Linked DNA regions of Oreochromis niloticus. The protein of the gene in region 1 purifies or fractionates together with the protein of each later gene. This does not show direct contact. Links are inferred from orthologs where the notes say so. Each region holds a gene or a part of one and is shown on either strand. Other genes may lie near its edges. The genes, in order: 7SK snRNA methylphosphate capping enzyme, srsf3b, lsm4 and prpf3.

Evidence for each region.
Region 2: the proteins of 7SK snRNA methylphosphate capping enzyme (region 1) and srsf3b purify together in Homo sapiens (affinity purification with mass spectrometry; 3 studies listed by BioGRID and IntAct, with this or other methods). This does not show direct contact. The link is inferred for Oreochromis niloticus from reciprocal best matches to the Homo sapiens genes MEPCE and SRSF3.
Region 3: the proteins of 7SK snRNA methylphosphate capping enzyme (region 1) and lsm4 purify together in Homo sapiens (affinity purification with mass spectrometry; 3 studies listed by BioGRID and IntAct, with this or other methods). This does not show direct contact. The link is inferred for Oreochromis niloticus from reciprocal best matches to the Homo sapiens genes MEPCE and LSM4.
Region 4: the proteins of 7SK snRNA methylphosphate capping enzyme (region 1) and prpf3 purify together in Homo sapiens (affinity purification with mass spectrometry; 4 studies listed by BioGRID and IntAct, counting the BioPlex papers as one, with this or other methods). This does not show direct contact. The link is inferred for Oreochromis niloticus from reciprocal best matches to the Homo sapiens genes MEPCE and PRPF3.

Annotation. Positions count from the first base shown.
Region 1 is NC_031975.2:12,333,126-12,340,483, forward strand, and holds the start of 7SK snRNA methylphosphate capping enzyme, read left to right. Parts: upstream 1-4,344; 5' UTR 4,345-4,483; exon of another isoform or gene 4,484-4,608; intron 4,609-4,629; exon of another isoform or gene 4,630-4,763; intron 4,764-5,224; 5' UTR 5,225-5,321; coding exon 5,322-7,133; intron 7,134-7,358. UniProt on the Homo sapiens protein: S-adenosyl-L-methionine-dependent methyltransferase that adds a methylphosphate cap at the 5'-end of 7SK snRNA (7SK RNA), leading to stabilize it.
Region 2 is NC_031970.2:21,883,384-21,890,471, forward strand, and holds the start of srsf3b (serine/arginine-rich splicing factor 3b), read right to left. Parts: upstream 3,016-7,088; 5' UTR 2,871-3,015; intron 2,398-2,870; 5' UTR 2,390-2,397; coding exon 2,187-2,389; intron 1,782-2,186; coding exon 1,641-1,781; intron 1-1,640. Other genes in the region: S-adenosylhomocysteine hydrolase-like protein 1, read left to right, coding at 4,789-4,968. UniProt on the Homo sapiens protein: Splicing factor, which binds the consensus motif 5'-C[ACU][AU]C[ACU][AC]C-3' within pre-mRNA and promotes specific exons inclusion during alternative splicing.
Region 3 is NC_031980.2:32,135,588-32,143,134, forward strand, and holds the start of lsm4 (U6 snRNA-associated Sm-like protein LSm4), read left to right. Parts: upstream 1-4,538; 5' UTR 4,539-4,673; coding exon 4,674-4,676; intron 4,677-5,194; coding exon 5,195-5,236; intron 5,237-5,593; coding exon 5,594-5,692; intron 5,693-6,167; coding exon 6,168-6,348; intron 6,349-7,341; coding exon 7,342-7,460; 3' UTR 7,461-7,547. Other genes in the region: pyroglutamyl-peptidase 1, read right to left, coding at 636-669. UniProt on the Homo sapiens protein: Plays a role in pre-mRNA splicing as component of the U4/U6-U5 tri-snRNP complex that is involved in spliceosome assembly, and as component of the precatalytic spliceosome (spliceosome B complex).
Region 4 is NC_031976.2:21,498,650-21,506,272, forward strand, and holds the start of prpf3 (U4/U6 small nuclear ribonucleoprotein Prp3), read left to right. Parts: upstream 1-4,617; 5' UTR 4,618-4,779; intron 4,780-5,203; 5' UTR 5,204-5,212; coding exon 5,213-5,357; intron 5,358-5,956; coding exon 5,957-6,087; intron 6,088-6,479; coding exon 6,480-6,647; intron 6,648-6,760; coding exon 6,761-6,847; intron 6,848-6,952; coding exon 6,953-7,239; intron 7,240-7,358; coding exon 7,359-7,477; intron 7,478-7,578; coding exon 7,579-7,623. UniProt on the Homo sapiens protein: Plays a role in pre-mRNA splicing as component of the U4/U6-U5 tri-snRNP complex that is involved in spliceosome assembly, and as component of the precatalytic spliceosome (spliceosome B complex).

The DNA.
Region 1 (7,358 bases):
GGTCGCCAGTCTGTCGCAGGGCCAACACACAGAGACAGACAACCATTCACACTCACATTCACTCCCGCATTCACACCTATAGGAAATTTGGATTAATCAATTAACCTATCCCCACAAACTGCATGTCTTTGGACGGTGGGAGGAAGTCTGAGTACCCGGAGGGAACCCACACAAACACGGGGAGAACACGCAAACTCCACACAGAAAGACCCCGGACCACCGTGCTACCTCCATTTAATTTGTATTATAGAAAACCAAACTGAAAAAAAAAACTAGCTAAAAAAATACAGGGTATAAAACATGACATGTCCAGAGATTCACTTTAGGGTTGGACTGTTAACTGTTATTTTAAGTGAGTATGTTATCTTCCAAAAGGTTTTAAAATCAAGATAAAAGAAATCCCAGTATCTCTTGCCCCTGCTTAAAAATGATAACAAAGAGGACTCCAACCCAGCCCACTCAGTTTATAAAATGTCAAGGAGTGCTTTTTGAACTTTTAATTGTAGTTTCATACCTTTTACAACTTTTACTTGATCCATCCACCAAAATCAAAGTACACGGACGTTTTCTTTGAGTTAGTATAAACTTCATATTTTAATTTATAATAACAGGACAGCCTGAATAATGAACTACCAGAACCTTTTCTATAACTTCAAACATTTATGATTTAGGTCAAGCTCACTTTATGTAACTTTACTGTGGACATGATGTAAAATCAGCTCAACATCGCGGCCATAACACAGTGAGGCTTAGTTCAGTTCACACCTATTTTTTTATGCATTTAGGGTTTCTGTTTCAATGACGGACAAAGCTATACATTTACTGAAAATCTATCATTTCACTGAAAATCTATCATTTTCAGTAAATGTTTTCTTTGTCACCACCAAAATCAAAGTTTTCCGTGTCTTAAAATTTTGATAATTATAATTCAAAGGTGATGGAAGTGAAAAGAAGCTGCCTGTACACTGCACACAATTTCTAGCTGATGCAGAGGTTTATAAAAGGCTCAGTTTAGACCAGGGGTGTTAAACAAAAGGCCCAGAATCAGACATCTTTGAAAAATGTGAAGGAGATGGTAAATGGACTGATTCTTATATAGTGCTTTTCTACTCTCCCGGAGTACTCAAAGCGCTCTAGACAACATGCCTCATTCACCCAATGACACCCACTCATACAAGCACTTCTAAACTCAAGTGCAACTAATAAGCACATAATTCACACACATTTACACTCCGATGAACGCATCTGAAGGCAATTTGGGGTTAGTATCTTGCCCAAGGATATTTGGCATGCAGACTGGAGGAGCCAGGAATCGAACCACCAACCTTCCAATCAGTAGCTGATCTGCTCTACCACCTGAGCCACAGCCACCCCTCATACATTGTAGAGTTTTAAGTCTACTTTCAAAAATTGTAAAGCTTTTCTGACTGATTATGTCTTTAATAGTACACCAACGTAATAGATAAACAATTAAATTACAAAAAAATTTGCTTCTTTTTTTCCCACACAACCCACAATAGAAATTTCTGTTTTCCATTTTTTTGTGAGTTAAGAAAAACTTTCTCCATTATAATTACAGGACAGTCTGCACAATGAGCTGCCAGAACTTCTTCTGTAATTTTACACATTTATGTTTTACAATTTAAGCCCAAAAGATTCATGTTGACAAATTTCTTTAATTAAACAGAGTGGCATTTCTCTACCATGCAGTACAACTGAGATGTGCTGTTAAAATTGCACTTTATTTTTTCTTATACTGAAATATGGCAGGAATAAAATGTGCATCTAAACTTATTCCAACTGACAGAAAGGGCATTTTTACTGACATGCGCTGTATTTGACCTCACATGTAAAATGAGTTTGAAAACCCTGCTGTAAACACTGGTCAAGATAGAAATTATGACACACTTTACAGGGCTTTCTTGTAAAGTCTGTCATCTAAATTAACTTTGAAGTTTGAATCAAAGCTATGGTACCAAAATTCAACTCAATTCAAAATTTATTTGTATAGCACATTTAAAAACAACAGAGTTAACCAAAGTCCTTCACAATCAGTTAAGAACAAGAGAAAGCAATAGGGAAACAAATATAGATAAATTAGAAACAAATACAGATAAATGAGAAGAAAACGAATTAACATTAAAAACATAAAACAGGCCTGATGGTACTCAAACTGAACTCGAATTAAAAGCCAAAGTAAAAAAGTTTTAAGACGTGATTTAAAAGACTGAATAGACTCTGAAGTACGAATATCCTCTGGTAGATTATTCCAGAGTCTGGGTGCTGCTGCTGCGAAGGCCCAATCTCCTCTATGCTTCAATAGAGACCTCGGTTGTGCTAAGAGCATCTAGTTAGATGATCTCAGCACTCTTTTGGGGTCATACATGTTGAGGGATTTCTTTATATAACTGGGCGCCATATTATTTAAAACTTTAAAAGTAAATAAAAGAATCTTAAAATCAATACGATACTTTACAGGGAGCCGGTGTAAATTTGGTAAAACTGGAGTGATATGTTCATACATTCTAACACCTGTTAAAAGACGCTCAGCAGCATTTTGGACTAACTGCAAGCGATGGAGAGATGAGTATTGAAGACCCAAATAGAGAGAATTGCAGTAGTCCAGTCTAGAGGTGATGAAGGCATGAATAAGTGTTTCTAGGTCTCTTGGAGGAAGATAAGGCTTAGCTTTGCCAATTTCACGTAACTGATAAAAACTTGTTTTCAGAACTGTGGACACTTGCTTCTCTAATTTAAAGGAGCTGTCTAAAAACACTCTGAGATTCCTTATGGTGTGAGAAAGATGAGAAGCAAGAGGACCGAGGGTATCAGTTAACTTGTTCAAAGGGCATGAGTTCCAAAAACCATAACTTCAGTCTTATTTTCATTTAGTGTGAGGAAATTCTGTGTTAATCAGTCTTTGACATCATGCAGACAGTTAAGCAAAGGCTGCAGTGGGACAGAGGCATCCAGTTTCAAAACTAAAAGCAAAAATAAGTTCACACCCTATGAAGGTATGCATGTAGCTACAAAGGGTGTGATTATGCCTGAAGATGTGTAGTGTGAGCTCTCATCACACTATATACCTTCATGTTACAAAACTCTGTACTAAAAAGAGGACGTGTGTGTGTGTGTGTGTGTGTGTGTGTGTGTGTGTGTGTGTGTGTGAGGAAAAGGCAGTAGCTGTGATTTTTAGGGATTATAACTACAGGGATTGTTTGGCCACTACATATTTAATGTTTGAAATATTTTAATACTAGGGGAAAAAGGGCATAAAAAATAAATGTGTAAAATTAGAGAAAAATTGCAAAGACTGTTCTAAAATGTTGAAACAAAAACATTTTGTCAATGTCTTGAATGTCTTTTATTTATACGATTAACCCACTGTAAAAATCATACATTTCTACAGTAGATAGTGAAAAACTGGAACTTTATGTTTTTTAATTGTTTGTGTATTATTTACTTTGTTGTAGTATAAATGGCCAAGGCACGGGGGAACGCTGTAGAAGTTGTTAAAATTCTGTTGAATATAAATAGTTTACGTCCTCCTTCACATTTTCCAAAGCCATTCAGTGGGCTGCTTTTGCCGGTTGATTCTCGCCCCCAGTCCTCATGTTTGATACCTCTGACATGCATAATTAGAAACGTGCATTTGCAAAAGTGCATGCACATCAGTTGGGAAAGAACATACAAAAGGAAACTGTGAGGTTGCTGCTTATCAGTAAACTTTATAAAAACCTAATGTGCAGGCTATGCAATACTCAGGTTACTAATAAGGCCTACTCTACTATTAGTCTACTAGGGCTGTAAGGGTGTATGGATTAAAGTCTGACTTTAGGACTAAACAAATTAGTCGAATAATCGAGTAGCAACAAAGAAACTAATCTCAACTAGCTGAATTGATAGTCAGGGTAGTTAACCAAGGCGGGAAAGCTCTATGTTCACTTTAGAGTGTCCCTCAGCCCTCCTGTTTTGTTAAGTTGTTCCCTTTCATATATTGTCTAATAAATGAATTAAATTTAAGCTGCTAATCAATCAATAACAAAACTATCATCGGCTCTAATGTTACCTGCAGTAGGAGGCTCATTATAATATCGTAGAGGGGAGTTCTCCTCACCGCCTCGCAGCCACCAGTCAGAGATCTCCGCCCCAGTCATCTTGGGCTACAGCTCGGAGCCCGGATGCGCCGCCATGCCGCCTCTGTCAGCGAATGGAATAATTTATTCACCAACCTGCCTCACACTGGCCCACTAGGAGTTGACTGAAGAAGTCGACAAGACAGTTTCGTGGCCACCGGAGCCTTTGCTGCCTACAGGCCAGTGCAGGATACCCGAGCCGTGCCTGCTCGCTTGTTTGCGTAGCTTAGCACTGTTGTGTCGCTGTAGGGACACTTGTGTGCTAGCTGCGCTAACGTTAGCTCAAGCGGAGAGAGTGCGGGGTAGTGACAGTCCGGCCGGAGGCGGGGAGAGCCGCGAGCTGCGAGGTGAGACTGTTATATTTTGATGGTGGTTGCTACCCTGTTGACTACGCGTGGCCATCTGGGAAATGGTATCACTTTCGTGAGTGTGACTCACGATTTTAGTGGGGTTCGGGCAGCAGCATATCGAGGTGGGTACTTTGGTGCTTGTCTGGTAGCGCTTTCTGGCCGGAGTAGAGCGTAACGTTTACTCGACGTTTCAATCTTCTTGGCCCGCGATAGAGAAGCTAAGAGCTAGCTTGCTAACTGGGTAACAGTGCCAGACGGGGACTCCTAAACTTTTCAGGTCAGCAACCCCTGTGTAGACACGCTTCAGATACCACAATACAGATGTGATAAGGGTGTGAGCCAAGAGATTCACTGTATCTAAAAAGATGAATTTTCTGTATTGTTATTAGGAAATCACAGTGGAATGTAAAGGGTTATTTTTTAACTCCCACCTCATAGGTATAAATACAGATACAGTGGCCCTTGGATGTGCAAGTGCCTGGACATCCCAGGATGCCTTGAGCATATTTTTGTAGTAATATTAGCCAACTTATGTTACTTTACTTAACAGATGTGTGTGTGTGTGTATGTGTGTGTGTGTGTGTGTGTGTATGTGTGTGTGTGTGTGTGTATGTGTGTAATCACAACAATGAGGAGGCACCAGGTTTAAAGCAATTTTGTTCACCATATCTAAAAGAATGTTAAGTTTATGGCATCAGTTTTCCTTCCTGTAACTTCTTTGTTTCTTTTGTTTTTCAGGCTCAGAAAATTGCCCCCCACCCCCCAAAAAAAACAAAAACAACAACAACAACAAAAAACCCTTCTATGTCTTCATCAGCTCTGAAAATCAAAAGAGATGTCTGTTGATGAGGATACAGCAAAAATGGGCAGTCCACAGCCTAGCTCGACGTCATCTCTGCAGCTCACGGATTGTCCTGGAGGTTACGGTGGTGTGTCTGTGATGATGGAGGAAACTGCAGCTACCCCTGACTTTGCAGCTGCTTGCCCTCTTCTGGGCACTGCTGCCTCGCCAAAACACACCAGCACAACTGATGCGCTCACCCTCGCAGACAATGCTGGACAGAGAGCCAGAGGGAACGAGAATAGCATCAATCGCAGAAATAGCTTTCATCATTCCAAACAACAACAACAACAACAACAGCAACAACAAACGAAGCTAACAAAGCGGCGCTACACAGCAAATTCTAGTTTCAAGCATCCTTCATCTGGCAAACGGCGACGAAGGGCCAACTCTGAGAGCGATTCTGTCCTGCCCACCAACTTCCTCTTGGGTGGGAACATTTTTGACCCGCTGAATCTCAACAGCCTGCTGGATGAGGAGGTCAACAAGGCGCTGAATGCAGAGACTCCCAAATCCTCTCCGCTGCCAGCAAAAAGTCGAGACCCTGTGGAGATACTCATCCCCAGGGACATCACAGACCCACTGAACCTGAACAGTGGGATAGCTGACAGCAGCTTTTTGGCTTCTCCCTTCAAGAGTGGAGGAAGGAAGAGACACCGCAACAGGCACCATGGGGGTGGAGGTGGGAGTGGTGGCAGTATTGGGATTTCAGCCACACAAATGAACCTCTCAGAATCAGGAAAAAGTGAAGTTAAAATAGGTCCTTCTGTACCTCTTCAAGGTACCTTAGCCTCATGTTCTGCACTAGAATCCAACAACGAATCCGGTAGTGTTTCTAGTGTCATGGCAGAGTCCCACGAGCACACAGATTGCAGCTCAGCAAGCTGCAAGGAGGAGATGCCGCCTGCATCCGTGGAGGATTCCACTTTAGGGGCACCGTACCAGCACACAAGTAGACGCAAGCGAAGGCGCAACTCGGGCAAAATGGAGCCCCCTGTCACCCATTCTACTCCAATTGGCAAGTCGGGACCTGGAGACAGGCATTTTGGTGCAGGGGGAGCAAGAAATTCCTTTCACACACCAAAATCTGGTTCCAAAATAGGCCCTGGAATACGCCAGCACCAGCAGCCCCACTCTCATACAAAGGAACAGCAGAAGAAGTTCCAGTATGGGAATTACAACAAGTATTATGGATACCGCAACCCGGGCTGCAGTGAAGACCCTCGTTTACGTCTGCTTCGTCCCGAGTGGTTTAGAGGTAAAGAAGTACTGGATTTAGGGTGCAACTCAGGCCATGTAACACTCTATATCGCCAAAATGCTAAGACCCGCCCGCATATTGGGCCTAGACATTGACAGTGGTCTGATACATGCAGCTCGTAAAAACATAAGACATTATCTGTCTGAGCTGCAGACCCAAGAGGCCAGGCGAGCAATGCAGGGCAAAAAGACTAGTAAACAGGAGGAGACAAATGGAAACGCGAGTCACACGGGCACAGAAAAAGAGCACAATGAAGCCGAGAGCAGGGACGAAAATGGGAAACCTGTGAAAGGAGAAAGTGGCCCTGCAGATACTGGAAATGACAATGAGTCGTGTCACACGGATGAGATGGAGACCCAGAGGCAGGGCAGCAAAACAGAGGAAATGGAGCAAGAAGACTGTGATTCACCCCCCGCTGATCACTCTGAGAGCTGCTCTTTTCCTGTATCCCTACGGATCTCCAGGGGTCCCATTGCTGCACCCCCGCTAACACAAACATCCACGGTGCAGCCTGGGGAGTTTCCTTCAAATGTGTCCTTCGTCAAGGTAAGAGAGGATTTTTTTATTTATTTTTTTCCTTTCGGGAATATGGCTCAGATTTCTGTGTTGCTGCATATTTTGAACCTAGATGGCAAATTCAGAAAAATTTAGACATTGTGTGTGTCCTGCTTTATAAATTAATGTTAGGGTAACTGAATAAAATGTGTAAAAATGCACAAAAATGTGAGTGCATTATGAGGACTGACCAGCCTCTCAAGAGAACTTGATGCA
Region 2 (7,088 bases), on another chromosome or scaffold:
TCTTAAGCAGTAGATTCAGAGCTCTGAGGCATGAAACACCAGCAGGATTTCCATCTTAAGGTAATTTGATATCGTACTGTGGATCGGCTCTGATGTGGGGAATCAAAAACCCAGCACACCATTTGGGCCACCATCTGTATGAATTCAGTCCACTGCACTTTAAGGGAAAAATGTACAGAAATTGGTACCAAAATTTATTTTTCACAGGGAATAAGCCTCGTGAAACAGCCAGGCTAAGATCTCAAACCGGGAACACACACACACACACACGAAAAAAAGATCTGATATTCATAGGGGGTGTTTAAGGAAAGTTTTGATGTGACTTCATAATTCTGCTCAGAGCCCCAAGACATACCAGATGATTATCTATCATCGAAATCTCTGGAAACATGATGTTCCAGATATTTGATGTTGGTCCATCCCCCTTTGAAACAAGGACTACAGAAATGGTGGACGACAAAATGACAAACTTATGATCAAAATAATAATAATAAAAAAAAAAAGAACAACCCTTTTAAACCAGCTGTCTCTTCACTTTTAAAACTGTAATCAGCAGTGTACTGAATGAAGCAGGAAAACTTACTAGTATTTTTGGTTTTCAACAAGCTAGAAATGACGAAAGGGAGGCAGACTGTCGGCCGGGTGGGTAGAATTGGCTGAATAGGACTGGCCAGATGCTGCAAGGTGATTAGGTGGCAGGCAGATGGGGGCTGGCTGTGGCTTTTTTCCTGCTTTAATTGGTTAGCCGAAGGCTGCTGCTGGCAGGTTGTAGACATTTGGGAACGTAATACGCTGATTGGTCGGGAATGTGAGGTGGCCGCTGCCGTTTGGGTTAAGGTTGAAGGAGGAGGAGGTTGAGAACGGCATGCTGAGGAACCAATGGGCTGGTGCAACCTGACGACTGGCCATGCCTGGGTCATGTGACAGCACCAGCCAAGCTGATTGCGGCCCGATGATCAGCAGTCACATGATGCTGAAAGAGGACTAGTTGATTGACTCAGAGGGTGGTGAGAAGAGGCATGGTGGTGGCTCTGCAACGGGTTCATTCTTATTAATATAGATGAAAAATAAAAAGCATCCTCAAACAAAAAGAAAAAAATTTGCATCACATTTGGCACTTTTATTCCCCCCAAAACGTATACTTATACTTAGCCTATACTTTTACCGACTGCCTAAATCTGTTTCCCCACACCCATTTTTGCCTTTTTAAAACAGTTCAAATGAGACTGCACAAAAACGTGCGTTTCAAAGGAAGCATTTGTGCCTTAAGTATAACCTAGGTCTTGCAGACCACACTTTAGATGCCTCAGAAACAGAAAGGCAGCCCTCTCTACATTCTGAAATAATGCCCCTTTTTCCACTATATGATGGTGAATGACTATCTGTGTGGCTCCTTCCATAAAATGACCATTAATGTCAATGAAGATGAATCTGCAAGCCTTAGGCATTGCAACACCCACAAATATATAATCACCAGAAAAGGTCACAAACACTAGAAATACCTACACTGGAAACCCAAATGCAATTAAAGGGAACTGTACTGTGGGCAAGAAAGTTGAACCGGTAAGTGACCAAGCAAGAATAAAGTGCAGAATAGATTGGTTATCGTGTCCACTGGCCAACAACAACATGTATGTCACCTGCGTCTGGGTGGTGGGCTACGCCGCCTGTAGTCGTCTCGGTCTCTAGGACGCCTGCTCCATGAAGGGGGAGCACCCCGAGTGCGGCTACGCTTCTCGCCAGTAGATAGCTCCACACGCACCCGACAGCCACACAAAGTCCTGCAAAAGAAAAAGAAAAAGAAAAAAAACAAAACATGAAAAGAAAGTATTTTTCCTCATTTCCAATAAAATGACGTACTTAGCACACTTCAGTGGGCCATTATTTGAATGTCTGAAGAGTCTAAATGTCTGCTAATGTAATAGATGTGATGACCAATAACACATTATCTTTGTTAAAAGTGTGACTGCATGAGAGGAGCTCTCCTTTCTGCGGAATGGGAGCAATGTACTGAACTTGGAGGAAAGAGTAGTACTGATCCAATAGCAATACTTTAATTTAAGTAGACTATTCATGTGGATGCAGCGTTCTTCCCCTGAAAACGCCATGTCCAGATGAACAGAGTCCACTTTCCTGACCTGGATGATTGAGCATGCATAAAAACACTTGAATAGATTGCCACCTACCTTCCATCAAGCTCCCGCACGGCATCAGTTGCATCTCTGGGATCTTCGAACTCTACAAAGGCAAAGCCTGGGGGGTTCCTGGCCACCCAAACACTCCGGAGAGGACCATAGTAGCCAAATGCTCTTTCTAACTCTGTCTTGTTTCCATTGTTGCCGAGATTTCCAACGTAGACCTTGCAGTCAAGGGGACAGTCACGATGCATGACTGTATCTGAAAAATGAGCAGAATAATATTAATGTTTTAGCTCTAAGACAAAGACTGGTCACACTCTCTCTCGCTCAGCCATGAACCACAGTGCAATACATGCTGCCTAATGACCCACAAACGAATAGAGAGCTTGGCCTACTATCTGCGCTGGATTTGCAGGTTATGCTAACGGAAGCTAAAAAAACCAAAAAAACATCCAGACGAAGCGAATCCCAAAATGCCTTAGTTAACTCGTTTGCTTTATATCTCCAACTATATTGTTGCATATTCGACGCTGCACTGTGTTTCGAAGGTAATGATAGCTAACAGCTTATTTACGGGGAGCTAAAATGGCTGCCGCCTACCGAGGCCTACTCAGCGGTAGCGGCACTCGGCTAGCAGCCGCAGAAATTTATACTATACATTCACATATGTGAAGTAAACTCACAACAGGTCGTTTTACAAACATATTACAACACAATAAGTTGAAACGCTACCGTTTTAGATGTAAATATCAGCTCAGATGATCGATTGTGACCCGGCTAAATTGTGCCTTTTCGTCTTCGGTGGAAAATGGCGTGACGTCAGTGGAGTAACAGGATGCCACTTCCGAGAGGGCGGGGTTAATGTCGCCTCCTTCCTTTGCCTAACCCCAACCCCCGCAGCTACACTTCTGTGCAAAAGTCTTGAGCCGCGATTTGTCCAAGTTTATACATTTACCAGCGCTCAAGGAAAAATTATGTTACTGTTACTAACGAGTTACATAGCATAGTTAAATTGATGTAAAGTATTTCTTCAAATGATATTGAGAGAAATAGAGATATTTGAACTAATAAAGGTAAATAAATTGTACTCTGTACAATAAAGCACTTTAGGACTCTTCTTCTCTCGGTTGCTCCCTTAGGGGTCTCCGCCACAGTGGTCATCTGGTCATCTGTCTTCATTTCACCCTATCCCTGGCCTCCAGCCCTCATCATGCTCTACTTCACTACATCCATGAATCTTATCTGTGGTCTTTCGCTTTTTCTACTGCGTTGCACCTTCATTTTCAACATCCCTTGTAAAATATATTCACTATCCCAACTCTGCACGTCCAATCCATCTCAGCCTTGCCGCTCTAACTTTGTGTCCAAACCTCTTCCACCAGCTCCCTACCCTCACTACTGATCACAATGTTGTCTACAAACATTATAGTCCACATAGACTCCTGTCTGACCTCATCTCTTAGCCTGTCCATCACTCCTCCAAACGAGAAGGGACTACATTGCCGATCCTCTGATGTAATCACCCGCCCACCTTGAATCCATCCTTCACTCCTACCACACACCTCACCCCTATTTTGCTGTCCTCGTGTCCTGCACCAATCTCACATACTCACCTACTTTTTTTTTTTAACAACCCTGACTTCCACATACAGTATCATAGTTCGTCTGTCTATACCCTTTCTGATAAGTGACAAGGGTGATAATTCGTTGTGACTGCAAATGCAAAATATCACTTTATTATTACTGAGATACTAATGTATAAATGTAATGCATATTGGAAAACAGAAATTTTTCTGTTTTTGAAAAGAGTAAGTTGTGGCTAATAAGATAACTTCATCATTCAGAAAAGAAGTGGGAAAAAATAATAAATAAAACGTGTTATGGTTGTATTTCCTTGGCAAGATTTTTCTAAGATTTTTCTGCCAGTGGTTTTCCAACATAATAGCTTGATCCACGGATAACTGATACACGTCCAATTTCCTGAGTACAAAGGCTGCTTTACTCCCTGCCAAAACAAATGAGTACACCGTATGTTCATTGACTTTATTTACAGTGTGGAATTGGGACATACTTCGTGCTTAGATCACGACTAAAATGTGGGGGAAACTGTAACTGTAAAGTTAAAGTTACATACGTCCGCCATATCTCACAAAACAGAAAGTACTATACTATAACGGGATCTAACATGTCAAATTTGGCCAAAAAGGCAATATATATACATTAAAATATAAATTAAAGGACGCGTTCATCATTCGTTGCGTGCTATCCGAGTTACCCTGAACGTAGCTTAACACGCGAGCCGCCCACTCAGTCTGTTAGTAACCGCCCACAAAGTTGGCCAGCCAGGTGACAGGAGAGCCAGCCGGGAAACAGCACGGACCACGTCCTGCCTGCGTTAAGAAGTCGACTACGTAACGATTCACAACCAAATCAAAGTCGACTAGGCAAAACCACCTGCTTAAATCCTGCGTTTATTGCCTGCTCTCACGTGCCCCCAATCTGACAGTCTCTTTTCCGTTAGCAGTTGCGACGTAACCAGCTAGCAGTTCGAGGACACCCATAACATAACGCTAGCCTCTGACGTTAGAGAAGGCTCAACGGTTGGTTGTTGTATTTCTGTCCGGGTAAAGATAGATAAGCCAGCGGCGAGATGTCCGAACCGGTCGGAGAAGCGAAGCTGGAGGTGAAGCAAGCGAGCAAAGAGGTGAAGGAGAGCGAGAACGTAGCGGAAAAATATTCAGCCATGACTGTGAGCAAAAACAGCGAAATAACCATGGGAGAGCTGTCGACTGTCTTCAGCGCTGTGCCCACTCACAAACCGGTTAAAAAGGTAAGTCTGCGCCAGGTGTAAGCATAACGGCACCGTTGGATATTAAAACAAACCTCCAAGGCTCTTTTTTTTTTTAGCGCGATAACAGCACTTTATAGGTGCTGTATCTTCTTTGTTTAAGGGTATTTGTATAGTCAGACTTAGCCTTCTTTTTGCACCTTGAATACATTTTACTAGAGCTCAAAGACTCCTGATTTTAAGAAAATATATATGGTACTAATGAGTTATATGTCACAGGGGGTTAGGGTATCTGTGGTATCATAACAGTCCACACACATTGCTATTGTGTGTGTGTGTGACAAGAGAATTAAAAAGTTGTTTAAACCCACATTAAGTAATTAAAGAGTCACACGTCAAGTCTCAAGCAATTTAAGCATTTTCTGCATGTCTATAATGGCTCACACCTCTAATAATAACACTAAAACTTTATAATTGTGCATTTTTATTCACATATCCCCCTTATTACAAATCCCAAATTTACTTCAAGGGTCTTTACAGTTTCAGCATACTTTCAGCAGCGGCTTCTGACCTGAATTTGCGAAACAAAAGAACCACTTGTTCCCTGTAAAACTTGCAAAAATAAGTTATTTGACACACTCCAGGAACAAGGAAGAGCTGCACCTTTCACTTTTGAGGCTGAATGGACAGTGTTTGCACACTCCATATGAGTTGCACTGAAGTGGACAAATGAACACAATGCAACAGTTTTTGCATTTGGAAAGCATATAGCTCGACATGGGGCACGGAGTCTGTCAAATGCAAGCGTCCGCATGCTCAGCCAAGAACATATTAGCTAGGCGTTCTTGTTATACATGACTGTTTCACATCCTCATACCGTTTTAGGGAGGATCTTTACACTGAAGCAGTCACTAGCTTGCAAAGTCAGGAGCCAAACATTTGACCAAAGAGTTCAAAGTTTTTGTATTGTTGGATTCAAAATAGTTGTGCTCAGTTGATATCAAGAAGAACTGGGAAATGTGAACATAGAGGACATGTTGATAAGTGTTCTTTATGACAGCACAGTTGAGCTTACTGACCTTTTATTTTAAATGTAATGCTTATGTATTCTTACATATTTAGTGAAAGACATTTAAGTTTCAAGCTTACTAATTATTTACAGTCCGAATTGGAGGGATAATGGTTAAGTCTGGGCTTCCTGGAGTTGTGATATCAGAAAGACTGTAATCTCTTTGACAGGAATTTAAAATAAAGAAACAAGGGTGATTCAATCACAGATGGCAAAGAACAATATTGTAACAGACTGGGGGAAAAAGCACACACAAAAAGAAGTTTTAAATTTTCCTTAAAATATTGCCAAATGGTATGTGCTCAGATTCATTTTTTTAATTATCTAGCCCTTACTTCACTTTTAACTTTAGGTTCCATGTGATGAATATACAGACAGATGTGTCTTCCGCCCACTATATAAAACATGACTACAAAAAAAAAAAAAAGGGGTTTCATTTCCTCTGGAATACATTTTTTGTTTATCAAATGGCCGGAAATCATAGTAACATGCACAGAGTCTTGATTAAATATAGTAATACAGTCTCAATACCTTTGAGTCTGTGCTAACCACGTACTCAATCATTCTGGTAAACCCCCCCAACAGCTCACATAAAACAGTATGTTTCATTCAGTTGGGCCTTGGGACCCTGAAACCTACACCACCCTGCTGAACTATGTGGTGTTTTTCACCTAAATCGCAAGAAGACCGCTCCTCATTGTCTTCTGTTACCATGGTGTTTAGCAGGTATGTGGATGGGACACCTCAAGTCAAGATAATTAATTGGAATGATGAGAATATTTCATTTACAGTTGTTCAATTCATGTTTTATTTATATAGCGCCAAATCACAAAACAGTCGCCTTAAGGTGCTTTTATATCGTAAGGTTAAGACTCAACAATCAGACGACCCCTTGAGCGAGCACTTGGCAACTGTGGGAAGAAAAACAAAAGGCAAACTGTGGAAGTAATTGTTATGCATGTATATCATTTATTTTCTAGGCTGACCTTTAAATCTGACACTTGGATAGAAAACTCCAACACATTCCAGAAACTGCTGAGGTGGGGCAATCTCTCTGTCCTCTGTTTGCATTGGAGCACCTTGAGAGTGGAAA
Region 3 (7,547 bases), on another chromosome or scaffold:
AAAGCAATAAAGAATAAAAAACAATAATTTAGGCTAAAGATTTCATGATTAAACTCTCTCTGTCTTGTGTTTTCAACTTTATCTATTGTTCATCTGTCTATATTTACTGACATAACTCCTATGATATCCATTTTTTAAAACTGAAATAATTTCAATAATGTCCCAAGTCACAACTAACAACATCTAATATTTATGAAAATATATGCATTATTACCTTTGCTGCCATATGGTATGTGCTCATCATTAGTGACTAATACTTCAGATGAACACGGGATATTTGAAAGCATTTAGAAACAAATATTATACCGTATCCATAGAGCAAAAAAAAATGTGTAATAAAAAGATGATATAAATAAAAAGGGAGTAATTTGTTTACTGTCTGCGGCCTTTCAGCTGAAGTAATCTAACACACTGGTGAGATCACCGAACCGGTCTGTAGCGTGTAACTATTCAATAATGCCTCCCCCCAAAACTCTAAAGGGTCAGAACTCCCACAAAAGTACTCGTTTCTTTCTGTACAGTTGCAACAGAGTGGAGCAGGAACGACCTGACGCCATTAATGGAGCAGCTTTAGTCTCCTCAACTTTTCCTCAACAGACAAAAGAGACAACGACAGCGGATAAAAGAGCCCAAACCTGTAACGACCACAGCCCGTTTACTGTTATCCATCTCCCGTCCCGATCACGAGGAACCGCTGCCTCTTTTTTCTCGGTCTTTACTTTGAACAGGGTTAGAGTGAGAGTCCACCCCGCAGAGCTGACGGCTCCTTCTCCCACACACAAACCGGAGGTACTCCCTCCTTCCGCAGGCAGCCTAAGACGTGACGTGATTACGTCAGCAAAAATACGTTTTTGAAAGATTTTTTTAAATAGTTTTTTTTAAAATTTTATTTGACAAACAGTGAGTATACAACATACGAAAAGATGAAGTATACAGAAGAACAGAACATGAACACACAAAACCAGGGGTAAAAAGAAAAAAGTAATAATTATATGAATACACGCAAAAATTCACATATATATATTGTTTTGAGAGCCTTTTTGTTGGTGGAGTCTGATATTGATTGTATGTACAATTCCACATGCTTAAGAAAATGACAGAAATATGGTGTTTTATTAGTAAACTTACATTTATGGATAAAAAATTTAGCTAAAAGTATTAACAAATTTATTATAAAAAACATTTATCATTCTTCTTGGGGAACTTAAAGAAACAGAATAAAACATTTTCCCATCGTAAAGAAAACTCCCTTAAAATATGGACAATAACAAACCTGCTAAATTCCTTCCAGAATCTCTGTGTAGAAGAACAGTACCAAAAAAGATGTGTCACAGTTTCTGGATGATCCCCACAGAAAGTACAATTAGTATTTATGTCTCTTTTAAATTTTACCATGTAGTGACTGGCAGGATAACATTTATGTAGAATTTTAAATGAAACTTCCTTCACCTTATTTACAATCAAATATTTATGGGGGATCATCCAGACTGTCTTCCAGTTGATATCTGGAACATATCGGTTCCAGTAAGATATTATATATGGGAGAGAGACGATATCCCCTTGGAATAAACTGCGTATTCTCTTATTGCTGTCACCAAGTTCCTGTGAAAAGCAGATTTTCCCTACTGCTGACTCAGCTGTATCTGGGAGAGTGAGTGAGGTAGATATTGAGCTGTCAGTGTTTTTATATAACATTAAAGTACCTGAGGGTATGGCACCAAGCACCATTGAGAATTCCCGAACACTGACTGGAAAATTATATAGTGCAATAAAGTCGTTGTAAGTAAGTAGTTGTCCCCCTTTATTAACCAGCTGAGCCACCAATAGGATCGCATTTTGGACCCAAGTTTCCAGGAAAAGTGATTTATTTTCAAATAAAATATCTCTGTTGTTCCAGATGAGGTATTTGTGTGGTGAGAAGTTGTGTTTATAAATGAGGGTCCATGCTAAGAGGACCTGCTTATGGAAGGATGAGAGTTTTACAGGGAGTTTCTCAACATTGTAATTACAATATAAAATTAAAGCTGCAAGCAGCGATACGAGGGCCCTCGCACCCCGGCACGTCGAGCCAAGCCCAACACCTAAAACCAGCGCGTCCGATCTGATGTTATATTGATGGAATTCATGCATTTAACCACCAGCTAACATTTCATCTAAATCAACCATTATTATAGTCGTCCCACTAGGTGGCGCTCTAACCATTACTGACAAATGCCATAACAAACATTTCCGAGCTCGAGTCTCATCACGCCTGCGACCTTTGGGAGAGACTGGACATTGTATTTTTGAGTGACAGCAGATTACTGCTTTTTGGCGAGTGATTGAAACTCCACGTGCCACCATGACCACCCCGTTTCCCTGAACGTAAAAAGCTTCGCAATTTAACATCACAAAGGTCTTTAGATTCCACACACAGGAGATCGCGGCAATATGATGAAATCCCTTGGAGGAGTTCGTCAAAGAACGAGGCCTGAAAAGAGGGGAAAATGTCGCCAAAATTACACATTCATTTTAAAATAGCCGACTTCCTGTTGGATTTGGGATATTGCTCCAAGAGACTTTTTTGTACATCTTGATATCTCCCACAAGCTTACCAGGTTTCAGACTCATATATAAAACACAGAGCAGGGGCTGTTGTTTTGAAATTGTGTAGGGGGCGCTGTGGAGCCATTTTGCACTATTCAAGGAAAGTGATCACATAACAACAAAGCCCTCATCACATTGGAGGTGTGCGCCAAATTTCAAGACTTTTTAAACTTTCCAAGCCCCTCAAAAGCCACTTCATCTTTCATGGTGAACCGCGTTGCCACCAGGGTGCGCCGTTCAGTTTAAAGTCACAATTTTCGCACTGAAGCATCATGATGGACTGATCGTGATATTCACCGCTTTTGAGGTGGCCACGACGAACCTGTGAAAACCTGCGTATTCCTGACAATGGTCACATCAATCTGTTCAGGGCGGGTCTGACATCATGCCTGTAAAGTCTGGTGCTGATGCTGATCAGTCTGGATTTCATTGAGCTATACTAATTTGTTTCTTCATGGCGAGACATCAAAGTTCGCCATGCTGCTGGGGTCACACCCTTTCGCGAAAAGTCACAGATTTCACTGTAAAGCAAGACCAACTCCTTAAGGCTTTCCTGGAGAAATTTGAGGCTGCAGATGTCACCCATCATAATACTGAACCCCAAAGTATAAAACATGACATTTCCTGCTCCCACTAGGTGGCGCTGTCCCTGATGTCAAATATGGCAGTTGAAATATGTTCAGGGCTGGAGCCTTATCGTATGTGTGCTCTTTGGTCCAGATGGGACAATGTATGACAGAATGAAAGGCAATAATATTTTCATGGCAAGTCATCGAAATAACCCCTCCAAACGGGTCTTATACTTTCCTGATAGTGGTTTTAATGGGGGTTTTTTCTATTACCTCTTTGTCTGTTTCTATTGCTCATTTATTTATTTGTTTAATTAAAAAATATAAATCCATCCATTTCCTGCGTTGAAGATGTAACTTCAAAAATTAACATTATTTTCATTTTCTATTAAACTATTTACATTACTGTGCAAACGTCTTGAGCTACCCGTTTTTTTATATTTTGCAAATAAAATGGGAACTAGGTGCATTGAAGCATGTGCAAACATACATGAAAATACAGAATACAAAGCAAAAAACAGTCTATACAATTCTAACCAGCATGAAAGTCAATATTTACCTTAATTCTTCAACACAACTTGAACTCTATTAAGGTTTCTTGTGACCGTTTTTTAATATAGCTGTTTACTTAAATGATATAGGTCAGTGTAAGTGGTATTAGAAAGAAAGAAAAAAATAAAAAGCATATCTCTGAAAATGGTCAACTATTAGGATGGACTGTAAATGAGTTAAAAAGCAATGAATTTCTAAGGAAAACCTTTGAAAGACCTTCAGAAAGCCTGGAGAGCTGTTGCTAATAACCGCTTTAAAATAAGAAGAAAGTGGTTATGGTTGTATTCTACCTTATAATGATGAACAATGTGTTGAACTCTGTGTTTTTGGCTGTTGACCTGCTTTTGGATTTCATGTAAATCGTGTGTCTCATATATGAAAACTTTTCAGTTATTTGGATAATTCTCCTCCATTTCCCAGTGTATTTGTTGACTTTAACAATCAATAGTTTTAAACAATTGGTAAGGGACTAAAAATGTAAGAAGAAAGAAGAATAGTATTCCTTAAATAACTAATCTAACTGTTTGCTCACCACCAAAACGCCATACAGTCTCCGGTTATCAGTTTTTAAATCTGTGAGAAAACATGGTTCAGATAAAGGGGATTTTTTGCTAAATTAAACACCCACTGGTGAATTATCTTTATAAATAAAACAAATGAAGGATATCTTAAGTATATCTTGGGAATAGGAGAGATGCAGCATATAAAAAATGCAATTTTATTTTTATATCTAATTATTTTGATATTTTTTACTTTACTTATTCTTATTAAAGTGGCACATTTTAATCGTTGCACCTTTCATTTGTTCTCATTTAATATTGGAAATGCGTGTTTCTGACAGTAGAGGGCAGCATCATATAATACAGTCATGAATGCGCCTCGCAGCACCGGAAGACAAAGAGTAACAGTAGGTGGGAAAATCGTGTTAGCAAGTAAGACACTAAAAGAAAAAAAGAAACCATCAAAATGGTGAGTTGTTAAAACTTTTCTTCTCTTCAGTGGCGCTGAGAGTGCTAGATTTTCAGCTAGCACTCTCAGTGCTAGCAGCATCGCCTTGCCTCTCCATACTCGGTACGTTAGCTATGTGAAGTTAGCTTAGCAGCTAAATTAAGCATCGATTACGTACACTAGTTGTTTTTAAATAAGTGCAGACTTAATACATAGCTTTAGAAAGCTTTTAGGTCATGCTCGACGTGCTGAGGCGGGGATTTATAATCTTATTTAGCTCCATACTCTTGCAGTTTTAAGGTTACTGACAGTTCATAGGAGTCGGTGAGTAAACGACGTAGACCTGAAGGCACTCTTAAAAAACCTGAACATAAGAGCACCTTCATGTCTACGCTAAACACCGCGGCTATGGAGACGTTTTCTTTGGACTATAACACTCCTGGCTGTTTTATGTACTCTCGCTTCAGTGCTCACTTCGGTAAATGCCGTTGATTACACACGTTTCGCCATGTTTGACCTGGTTCTCTTTTGTTTTGCAGCTTCCCTTGTCTCTGCTGAAGACTGCCCAGAACCACCCTATGGTGAGACTGACTTGGACCATGTATACAATTTTATATAACAGGCTGTAAAAAAAATATAATCGTGAGGAGAGAAAGTGACATCTCAAGATTTCTTACATGTAGAAAGCAGTGAATTGTAAGTGTGTGAGCAGAAAATGATTCAGGTTTCTTTTGAAATTTATACTGTATATAATTGTGGCTTCAGCTCTCTCATTTTATTTTGCTAAACTATAGCCAGTCCTAATTTCTTTTTAGAACTTTAATTGGCACAAGTTCAGTTTATTTTTTGTAGTGAGTATTGAAACTTTTAATACAGCTCTGAATTCTGAAAATATTCTAAGACAAGTTTTTTCCCCCCCTCATCTTTTCTCTCTGTAGTTGGTGGAGCTGAAGAATGGAGAGACGTACAACGGTCACCTGGTCAGTTGTGATAACTGGATGAACATCAACCTGAGAGAAGTCATCTGCACATCCAGGGTAACACTGACCTTGCTCTTACAATAAAGCTCTAGATTAATGACTGATGGTTAGAAAAGACAGTTTTCAGTGTTGTGTGCAGAGATATCATCGTTTTATATAAAGGCTGAGTAAGTTATTCACACTTTTTGGTGGATACACCTGCTGGCTGGCTGCGCTCTGGTGTTTGTGCACAGCCCTGCTTTTCTCTAACTGTTCCAAAAACACTGATTTGGACTGAGCCACACATTACTCTAGCTAAATAGCTACAGGGAATTTTGAATGGGAAAGAGGAATGAGAGTGAACTTCTGGATTTTTTTTTCCTTTTGCTGTAAATACACTACTAAAGTATTGTTTCAGTACAGATATTTCTATATATGTAGCTGTTTGGTCTTACGAGAGAGTGCTTTTTTTTTTTTCTTTTTCTTTTCTTTTAATCTTGAGTTAATTGTTAAGCCAATTTGATGGAACGACAGCCCCACTCCCCTCTCACAGGATGGAGATAAGTTCTGGAGAATGCCTGAGTGCTACATCCGAGGAAGCACCATCAAATATCTGCGAATCCCAGATGAAATCATCGATATGGTGAAGGAGGAGGTGGTGTCGAAGGGGCGTGGACGTGGAGGCGCCCAGCAGAACAAACAGCAGGGCAAAGGAAGAGGAGCAGGTGGCCGAGGTGAGTGGAAGCAGCTTTTGTTGTTCGTGCTGGATGTCTTAATAAACATGGGACAGTATTGAGTATTGTTTCCACATTTCTGTCAGTTCTTTCCAGAGTGTTTGTAAATAAACAAATTTACACCTGATAAATGTAAAAATAAATTATCCAAGTTCAACTTTAATTTCACTGAGGTTAAAGAATTATCGAATCCCTAACCATTCTAGGAACCCATGACTATTATCGTAATCATAGCTGAAATTTCTGACAGCTTCTACCACATATGTTTATGGATGATTTGACCAACAGGAGCCTCATAACTTTTTCTTATAAGTGTTTAATTTAAAGTCTTTTCATATCTACTACCTTCCTTTTTTTGTTCACATGAGAGGATTGTGGCTGCTTCACATCAAAACCTGATATGATTTGTAAAAGATATTAAACAGATCTTCCCAGTTGGGCAGCACGGTGGTGTGGTAGTCAAAAATGTGGCCTCTCAGAATGAAGGTCCTGGGTTTGATTGCATTGTGGTTTCTGTAGGCCTCCAAATCTGCTCGCAAAGTTGGACATCCACAGATATTTTGGGGATTTGAAGGATTTATGTTAACTTAAGGTACACTCTTGAAAGTCTGTACTGCTAGAGCCGTAGTACCAGATATTTCCGTATTTCCATAGACCTAGCTAAGGTACTTTTCTTAGAAAATGGAGTTTTAATTCCCAAGTGCATCTTTCACCCCTGATTTTCTTTTTCCTCTGACAAACTTGTGATAGTCAGGTGTGAGGCATTTCCAGTTATTAAACGTATATTGGTCTTTACTTGGTGTTGGTGGCAGGTTCTTTATAACTTTACATTTTTCTGTTTTCAGTGATACATACCAATTCTCCTTAACTGTATTATTAATTTTATTTATTTTCAATGAATTTTAAATATTAAGATTTGTTCATATTTACAGGGGATTGGGAATACTTTCTGTTACCTGATCTAACACAGGCTTTCTCTCACTTTCTCTGTAGGTCTGTTTGGCAGCCGTGGCAGAGGGATGACCGGCCCCGGTCGGGGTCAGCAGCAGCAGCAGCAGCAGCAGTCAGATAAGAAACCAGGAAAACCACAGGGAATGAAGAACCAGCACTGACAGACGACGCTGCACCTCTGACAACGTCCTGTTAATCAGTGATTCTTCCTTCAGCACATGAAGAAAAAAAATCTCTTTGGTGTGTTT
Region 4 (7,623 bases), on another chromosome or scaffold:
AGATTCTGGTTTTACTTTACTTTGGTCATGTTCAGTCATTGGTTTGTTTTTATTTTTATCACTAACGAAATATTGCCAAATAGTACTATCTCACAAACAGAACTGAAAAACTGTTATTCATGCTTTTGTTTCTTCGAGATTGGATTAGTGTAAATCATCACCAGTTATTTATTGTATATCTGTGTGTACATAGTGTATATATTAGTGTAACTCGTAATTGAGCAGCCTACACAAAGCATCATTGGACTGTTTGCAGACTGTACAGAATGCTGCCAGACTTCTGAACAAATCACCAAAGTTTTCTCATGTCACACTGCTACTCTCCCAGCTCCATTGGCATCCCATTGACTCGAGAATACATGTCAAGATTTTGGTTCTCACTTATAGGGCTCTGAATGGTCAAGCGCAAGCATGCATCTAAGAACTTTTACATCTGTATGGCCTTAGCAGATCCCTAAGGTCATCTGACCGAGGCCTGCTGTGCCACATGCAAGGGTAAAAACTAAAGGTGACAGAGCCTTATCTCAGTAGTAGCACCAGGACTCTGGAACTTTCTCCCCTTTAGTTTTAGGTCTGCAAACTCTGTTCAGCTTTTTTAAAAGCAACAAAAAATCTTTTTACAATTGCTTTTAATGAACTATTTCAATGTACTGATGTCTGATGTTTTTTGTTTTCTTTTGTTTAGCACTTTGTGATCAATATCTTTAAAGGTGCTATATAAATAACTAAACTCACTTTTGCTTACTTCATTGTATGAGATTGAAGACTAGGGGGTGGGCAGAGTCTTTCAGTCTGTGGCACCAAGGGTTTGGAAAAGTCTAACATTCCAGCTGCAGTGGGGAAAATAATTATTTCATCATCTGCTGAATTTGAAGGTTTGCTCACTTACAAAGAAATTAACAGTCTGTAATTTTAACGGTAGTTTTTTTTGAATGGACAGAATATCAATCAAAAATCCAGAAAATAAAACACGTTACATAAAAGTTACAAATTGACTTGCATGTCACTGAGTGAAGTAGGTTTTTGATCCCCAAAAAATGTGTTAGTGCTTGGTGGAGAAACAACTGTTGGCAAGCACAGTGGGAAGATATTTCTTTAGTTGGTCACGAGGTCTGCACACATCTCAGGAGGGATTTTGTGCCTTCTTGGGCAGGGAGACCTTATAGCATAGTGTTTTACCAATTGTGTTCTTGGTGACTGTGGTCCATTTATATTTATTCCATTTCATAATAATCACACCAACATTTGTCACCTTCTCAACAAGCTTCTTGCTGATGGTCTTGTGTAGATCTACAATCTTGTCCTTGATGTCATTGGACAGCTGTTTTGGTACTGGTGGTCAAAGTTGGAAAGAAAGAAATTGATTCTGTGAGCAGGTGTGCTTTCTAAACATAGCGAGTTAAGTTCGGGAGTATCTGTAATTGACTGAATGTAATTTGTGTGCCACATGGACACGCAGCCAATTTGTGGGAGGAAGAAGTGTGACTGGCACTTATTTCAGTTAAAGGCATGCAAATCAATGCATAACTTTTATGTGATGTGTTTTTTTCTGGATTTTTGGTTGATATTCTGTCCCTCTCTATTAAGATAAAAATTAGCGGCTATGCATTTTTTTTTTTCTAACTCAGCAAAACGTACAAATTCAGCAGGAGAATCAATTTTTCCCTACTGTACATTTAGCTGACTCTTCGACAATTGAATTCTTCTCTGTTTAACCACGCTTTCTATTGAAATTCTATTATTAATTATATTTTTATTGTCTTTTTTATTGTTATGTCTTCTACCATAGTTTTATATTGCTAGCACTTTATAAATAAACATCACTTACTTTCTATTTCGTCACTCCTTAAGGGACAACTTCATTTTTATTGAATGACTTTCTTTTTTTGTCTTTAGGTTTGTTTTAAAAGAATTTTAAACACTTGTCTGGTTCCCCCTTAGCGAGGTCAGGCCTGCAAACTTTGCTCATTGCAACTGCTGTAGTTTGAAGTTTGTTTGGCCGGGCATGCCTGGTGGAAAGCGTTGCCTCTGCCTATCAGGTCCAGCTGCCTGTGTCAGTCAAAGAGTCCATGAACCTAACTCCAGTATCCAGGTGGCTGTATAGGATAGTTGCCTGATAGTTATTGTTAGAAAAGGGCCAAAACATCCCTTGGGATTAACTTCTTGTTGGAACGGGCCTAAAGTGGCCACTAGAGGAACTAATGCAGTTTTTGGCACTTCCATATTGGCATCAGTTTTCAGCTCCAGAGGCAGCCACATTTGTACAACACATACAATGGAACAATAGTCACTGCTACTTGCAAATGTCATTACATAACTGACAGCCAACGAGGTCAATCTTGCCAGCAGCAGTTATTCTTGGGCAATATATCAGTGAATACCTAAAAACAACAACAACAACAAAAACAACCCAAGAAGCAATTACATACTCCACGTGCATATCTTCAAATGTTCTTGTTTTCCTGAACCAACAGAGCTTAACTCCATAATGTTCACTTTGATAATAGTTACCTTTAAAAAGCTGGAAGCCATGTGGTAAACTATTTTGCTTAAATTATGGTAAAATACATTTAATTTTCAATTGAAATAGTAGCTAATATATAAATCATTAGACTGTTTCAGATCAAAACATTGCATTGCAACTTGCATTCAACAATTTAAACAGAACAAGGAATAATTTACTACACTCAATAACTTAAATAAGTGATCAGTAAGACCTTGTTTTTGGGAAAACTAGATATATGACATTCTGATTTTCCTCAAGGTCACAGAGAAAAATGGTTTCAAAGTGAAAACAACAAAAGGCGTTTGTTGTGGTGGAAAAAGCATGTAATCAAAGTGCCTCAGATTTCCATGTATTATTCTGTGGTCCTAATTAGAGGCTTCCTTTAAACTACCAGATTTCCTTCCATATTCACACAACTTGGGTTGTAGTGTGCTTGTAAACATGGACGTAAATATTAAGTACATGAGTGATGAATCGGCAGGGGATGATGATGGAGGTGTGTTGTTCAGTAGGAGTAAATGAATGCATCTGTAATGACTATCTGACATTTTGGTGATAGAGAAAGAGCATGTGTTGTAACTAAAGCATGCTGCGTATGCAACTCTTCCTGATGGTTGCACGTGGCATTAGCACTGTGAGCGAAAGCATGGATGTGGTTTGCTGTAGACAGAGCGAGTCATTTGGCAGCCTGGTGTAGCCTCGGGCTCTCTGCAACTGATTCATGCTCACACTACTATAAGTGCACGCAGTTGACCCACATCATGCAAAGAGAGGGAAAAAAGTCAGGAGGCGGGCATTCAGGGGAAGGAAATGGAGATCATCTGATAATTTTTACCAGGGGACTGGGTTCATGACTGAGCTGCGGTTAATAATTAGGCAATATTTATGACTAGTTTGACTTCTGTGAAAATCATAGAAACACTGCGCTTTTAATATGAAGACAAAGCCCTATCATGAACCTTGTAAAGGAGAAATATGAGAATACTCTCTGCCAAAGCTCTTCATCAGCTATTTTTTCAATTTGGATTTTTATTTGCAATTCAGATCACTCTCTTAGTTCCCAGAATGTAAAACATTAGTTTTAATCCAGCTTTAACTAGTTTTGGTATTTGAAGTTGCCAGGGAAAAGATTTAACCTCTTAACAACCACCAAGTCACTGCTGATCCACTTAGTGGTAGGCTTATGCTGAATTTTACCAAGAAGATGAAGAAGCATAGTCTCAGAAACTAGAAGACATTATTACCCTTAATCCTAAACAGGTGACCTGGGTGAGGTTAAGAGGCCAAGAACATGATATGTATCAAAGAATAAACACTTTTTCCATACTTAAAAAAAAAACAAAAAACATTAATCTCACTTTACTGATGTATATACATATTGTTGTTATAGTAACATTAATTTTCAAGTCTATTCTTTATTTCAGTAACTAATTATTTCGATTACACCTAGTGTTCAGCTAGAGTTTCTATAAATATATTGCTCTGCAATTACATGATGCCAACAACTTGATAGTCAGTTAGCTTAGTTTGATTTAAATGGACAAAAGACTGCGTGTATCACCAGACAAATCTGCTAAAAAAAAAAAGTGTAATAAATTTTTCTATATACGTTTGACTTCTACCATCATTTTGTGCTGTTAGAGAATTTTAATCCAGGATCCAAAGACTGCCATGGCTCTCTATTATAATGTGTCCCATGTGTATTATAGCTAAATAGGCAGATTCATTAATGTGTTTTCGCTGGTGAAAATGAAAACTAGTTGGGGCTTGTATAAGGTTAGTTGAAGGAAAATGGGTTTGAAAGCGAACTCGTCAGGATAAAACGCAGTGTGCATAGTCACACCCACAAGACAGTTTTAATTCCTGGAAAAACCCTGAGCTGTGGGCATAATGCTATAACGACACAACATTAACCTGGTCAAGAACGAACTTTCACGGATAAATAAATTGCCTTAACCCTCAGATTTTTAAAACTATTTGGGAGAAATACGTTTTACCTTGTGGAAAACAGGGATATTTCCATACATGTGCAGATAGGTGGAAACACCGCACACTTGAAACGAAACGACTCTGCGGAAAAAGTCCACGAAGAAGAAGCTGCGTCCATTTCCTGTTCCGGGGCTTGAAACAGAAACGTCGTGCGGACGCGCGACTAAACAGAAAGTTTTGGAGAAAACTTCGCACGTTGAGTGTTTCACGCGTCTGAGTCTTCATCGTTTTTATTTGACCTCCACGGCGTAAACGGGCTGACTACGATAGAAGAGTAATCTAAGGTTTGTAAGCCTCATGAAGCAGTTATTCCCCGGTGATGGTAGCTCGCTTACACCAGTGTGCTAACGTTAGTTAGCATCTAACCAGGGAGGTTTGGCGGATGTGATTGATTTAACAATGTATGTTGCTACGGGCTGGCGCTTTAATTTAATCAGTCTGATTTAACACTCATCAACTAACAAAGTGCAGCAAGTTCGGAGTGACTGACTGTTTATGTGGGAGTTTTTATTAGTTGCAAACTGGTGAACGTCTGTGTCAGAGCAGCTGTAGCTAAGTGAATAAAGGACGGCGGGTTTTGGAGCTCATGTTTGGGACTATCACATTTGTGTGATATAGGACTAATCAAGGCCAGAAATCACGAAGATTTTGAGTAATAACCATGCTCAGTAGCGGTAATCCATGACATAAGTATTTGATGTCCTGCAGGATTGGAGGATGTCTCTTCCAAAGCGGGAGGTGGAGGAGTTGAGGCCATGGGTGGAACGCACTGTGAAGAAGGTGCTGGGTTTCTCGGAGCCCACTGTGGTGACTGCAGCATTGCACTGTGTGGGAAAGGGACTAGACAAAAGGAAGACCATAGGTAAGTTCGGAGAAATATCTCTTATTTATTTAGAGATCTGGTGACGATTCAATTCAGCCAAAAGTGCCTCTGACATCAGAGGTATATCCCAGGGTGATTTGTTTTACCTTCTTACAAAATGCACCCATCATTGCAGAGAAAAAAGTCCAGCCAAGTAGCAAGAGTCCAACAGCAGTCTGAAAACCTATCTGGCCTTCTTAGGAGTATTTGACATGACTACCAAGCTGTGGGTTCTTAACATAGTGCAGACAGCCAACCCACAAAATGATGGCGTGAGGATCTGCGATGTAGCTATCAGCAGGGCTTGTTTGCAAAGGTAATAGATTTGCTGTCCAGTTAAAATACTGCAGTCATTTGTTCATTCAAATGAAAGATTATGAGTACAAAGAAAGCTGCCTATTGCTTTTATTTGTTTGTTTGTTTATTTATTTATTTATTTCATCTGTCTGGGAAATAATTGCTTGGTCTGTTAGACTGTGACTTCTGTAGGTGCTGTAGTTTAAATGTCAGTGTATATTTTTATGTGGGTATTTAAGCTATTCTGTGGTAACAGTATTTTCTTTTCAGAGTGTTAATTATTTCATATTTATTGTCCTCAGACCAACTGCGTCCTTTTCTCGATGACTCTGCTGGAGGCTTTGTAGAGCGGCTTTTTGAAGCCCTCGAGGAGAGCCGCAGCACACGTGGGAACAAAGGATCTGGAGAAAAAAACCGGAAGAGAGAACTTAAGGTAACCTAACATCATAGCAAATGTTCATACTTTATATTATCATTATATAACTGAATAACTAGATCTGGAGGTGAGGAGTTTTCTGACAAAAAACACGCTCATAAGCAAAAGTGACCCGTTTAAAGAAATTAAATACATTGCATTCAATGCATGCAGTGATTAGTCTGATTGTGTTAAGCCTCAGTTTGATTAACTTAAACCTCAGTGTAAACATCCCCTTACACTTCCTTTACTCCAGCATTAGACTTAATTGAGGTTTCACTCAGATTGCACTTAACTTTAGTTCTACATGGACTGCACTGATACAATACTGATTATTCTTACGGAAAGTTTAATTGCTGCATAAGATATTTATTTTTATTGGTGTTTGTGTGTTTGCCGGTTGTACTCAGGATGTGTTTGGTGAAGAGGCTGACACAGGCGCAGTGCGAGAAACTCCCGAGCCAACAGATGGCACAACGGCAAAGAGGAAACGAGTCCCCCGTTTTGAGGAGGTGGAGCAACCTGAGGTGATACCAGGACCTCCATCAGAGAGCCCCGGCATGCTCACCAAAATGCAGGTACATGATACTTGGTGCAATAGACAGTAGACAATATATATATGTGTATATGTAAGTATAGTGGCTTTATTTTCTTTGTCAGTCACCTCTGAATCCTTTTGCTGTCCTAACAGATCAAACAGATGATGGAAGCAGCCACAAAACAGATCGAAGAAAGGAAGAAACAACTAAGCTTTACTGCTCCAGCTCCTGCTACAACAGTAATGAGATTTCTTTCCCATAAAAATACATACTGAATAAAGAACTGCCGCCTTTTCAGGCTGTAAATTCTATTTGAAACCTTTCTAATTTCTTTCTGACTCTAGCGGTTGCCTGTTCCCACTCCACAGTCGCAGCTGGATGCCCCTCCACTCTCTCGACTTCTTGGCACTGCTGGTGCTGCAGCAGCTGGTGGTGGGTCATCCATCGCTCCCTACCAGGCTGCCAGCTTCATGAATGATGCAATTGAGAAGGCCCGTAAAGCCGCTGAGCTACAGGCTCGCATTCAGTCCCAGTTAGCTATGAAACCTGGCATCCTCGGAGCTTTGGGGAACACTGGGCCACAAAACTTTGTGGCACTAGCTAATCTACATGCCATGGGGATTGCTCCACCGTAAGTGATGTCAGACTATAAATATAAGATTTTAAAATATGCACAAGACATGAAAAAAGTAGGTGATGTCTTTGTGCTCAATTGACATTGAACTGCTTTCTCTTTATGTGTAACTACAGCAAAGTAGAACCCAAGGAGGTGAACAAACCGACACCTCTTATCCTGGATGAGAAGGGAAGAACTGTAGATGCCAGTGGCAAAGAGGTTGAACTCACACACCGCATGCCTACGCTCAAAGGTACATACATGGATACAGTGATCCAATATTTGTACACAAACATGCACAATGTGTTTTCTTTGTTTTGATATTCCACAAAACATTTTTCTTTCCCTGTGTAGCTAACATTCGAGCAGTAAAGAGAGAGCAGTTCCGCCAGCAGCTGA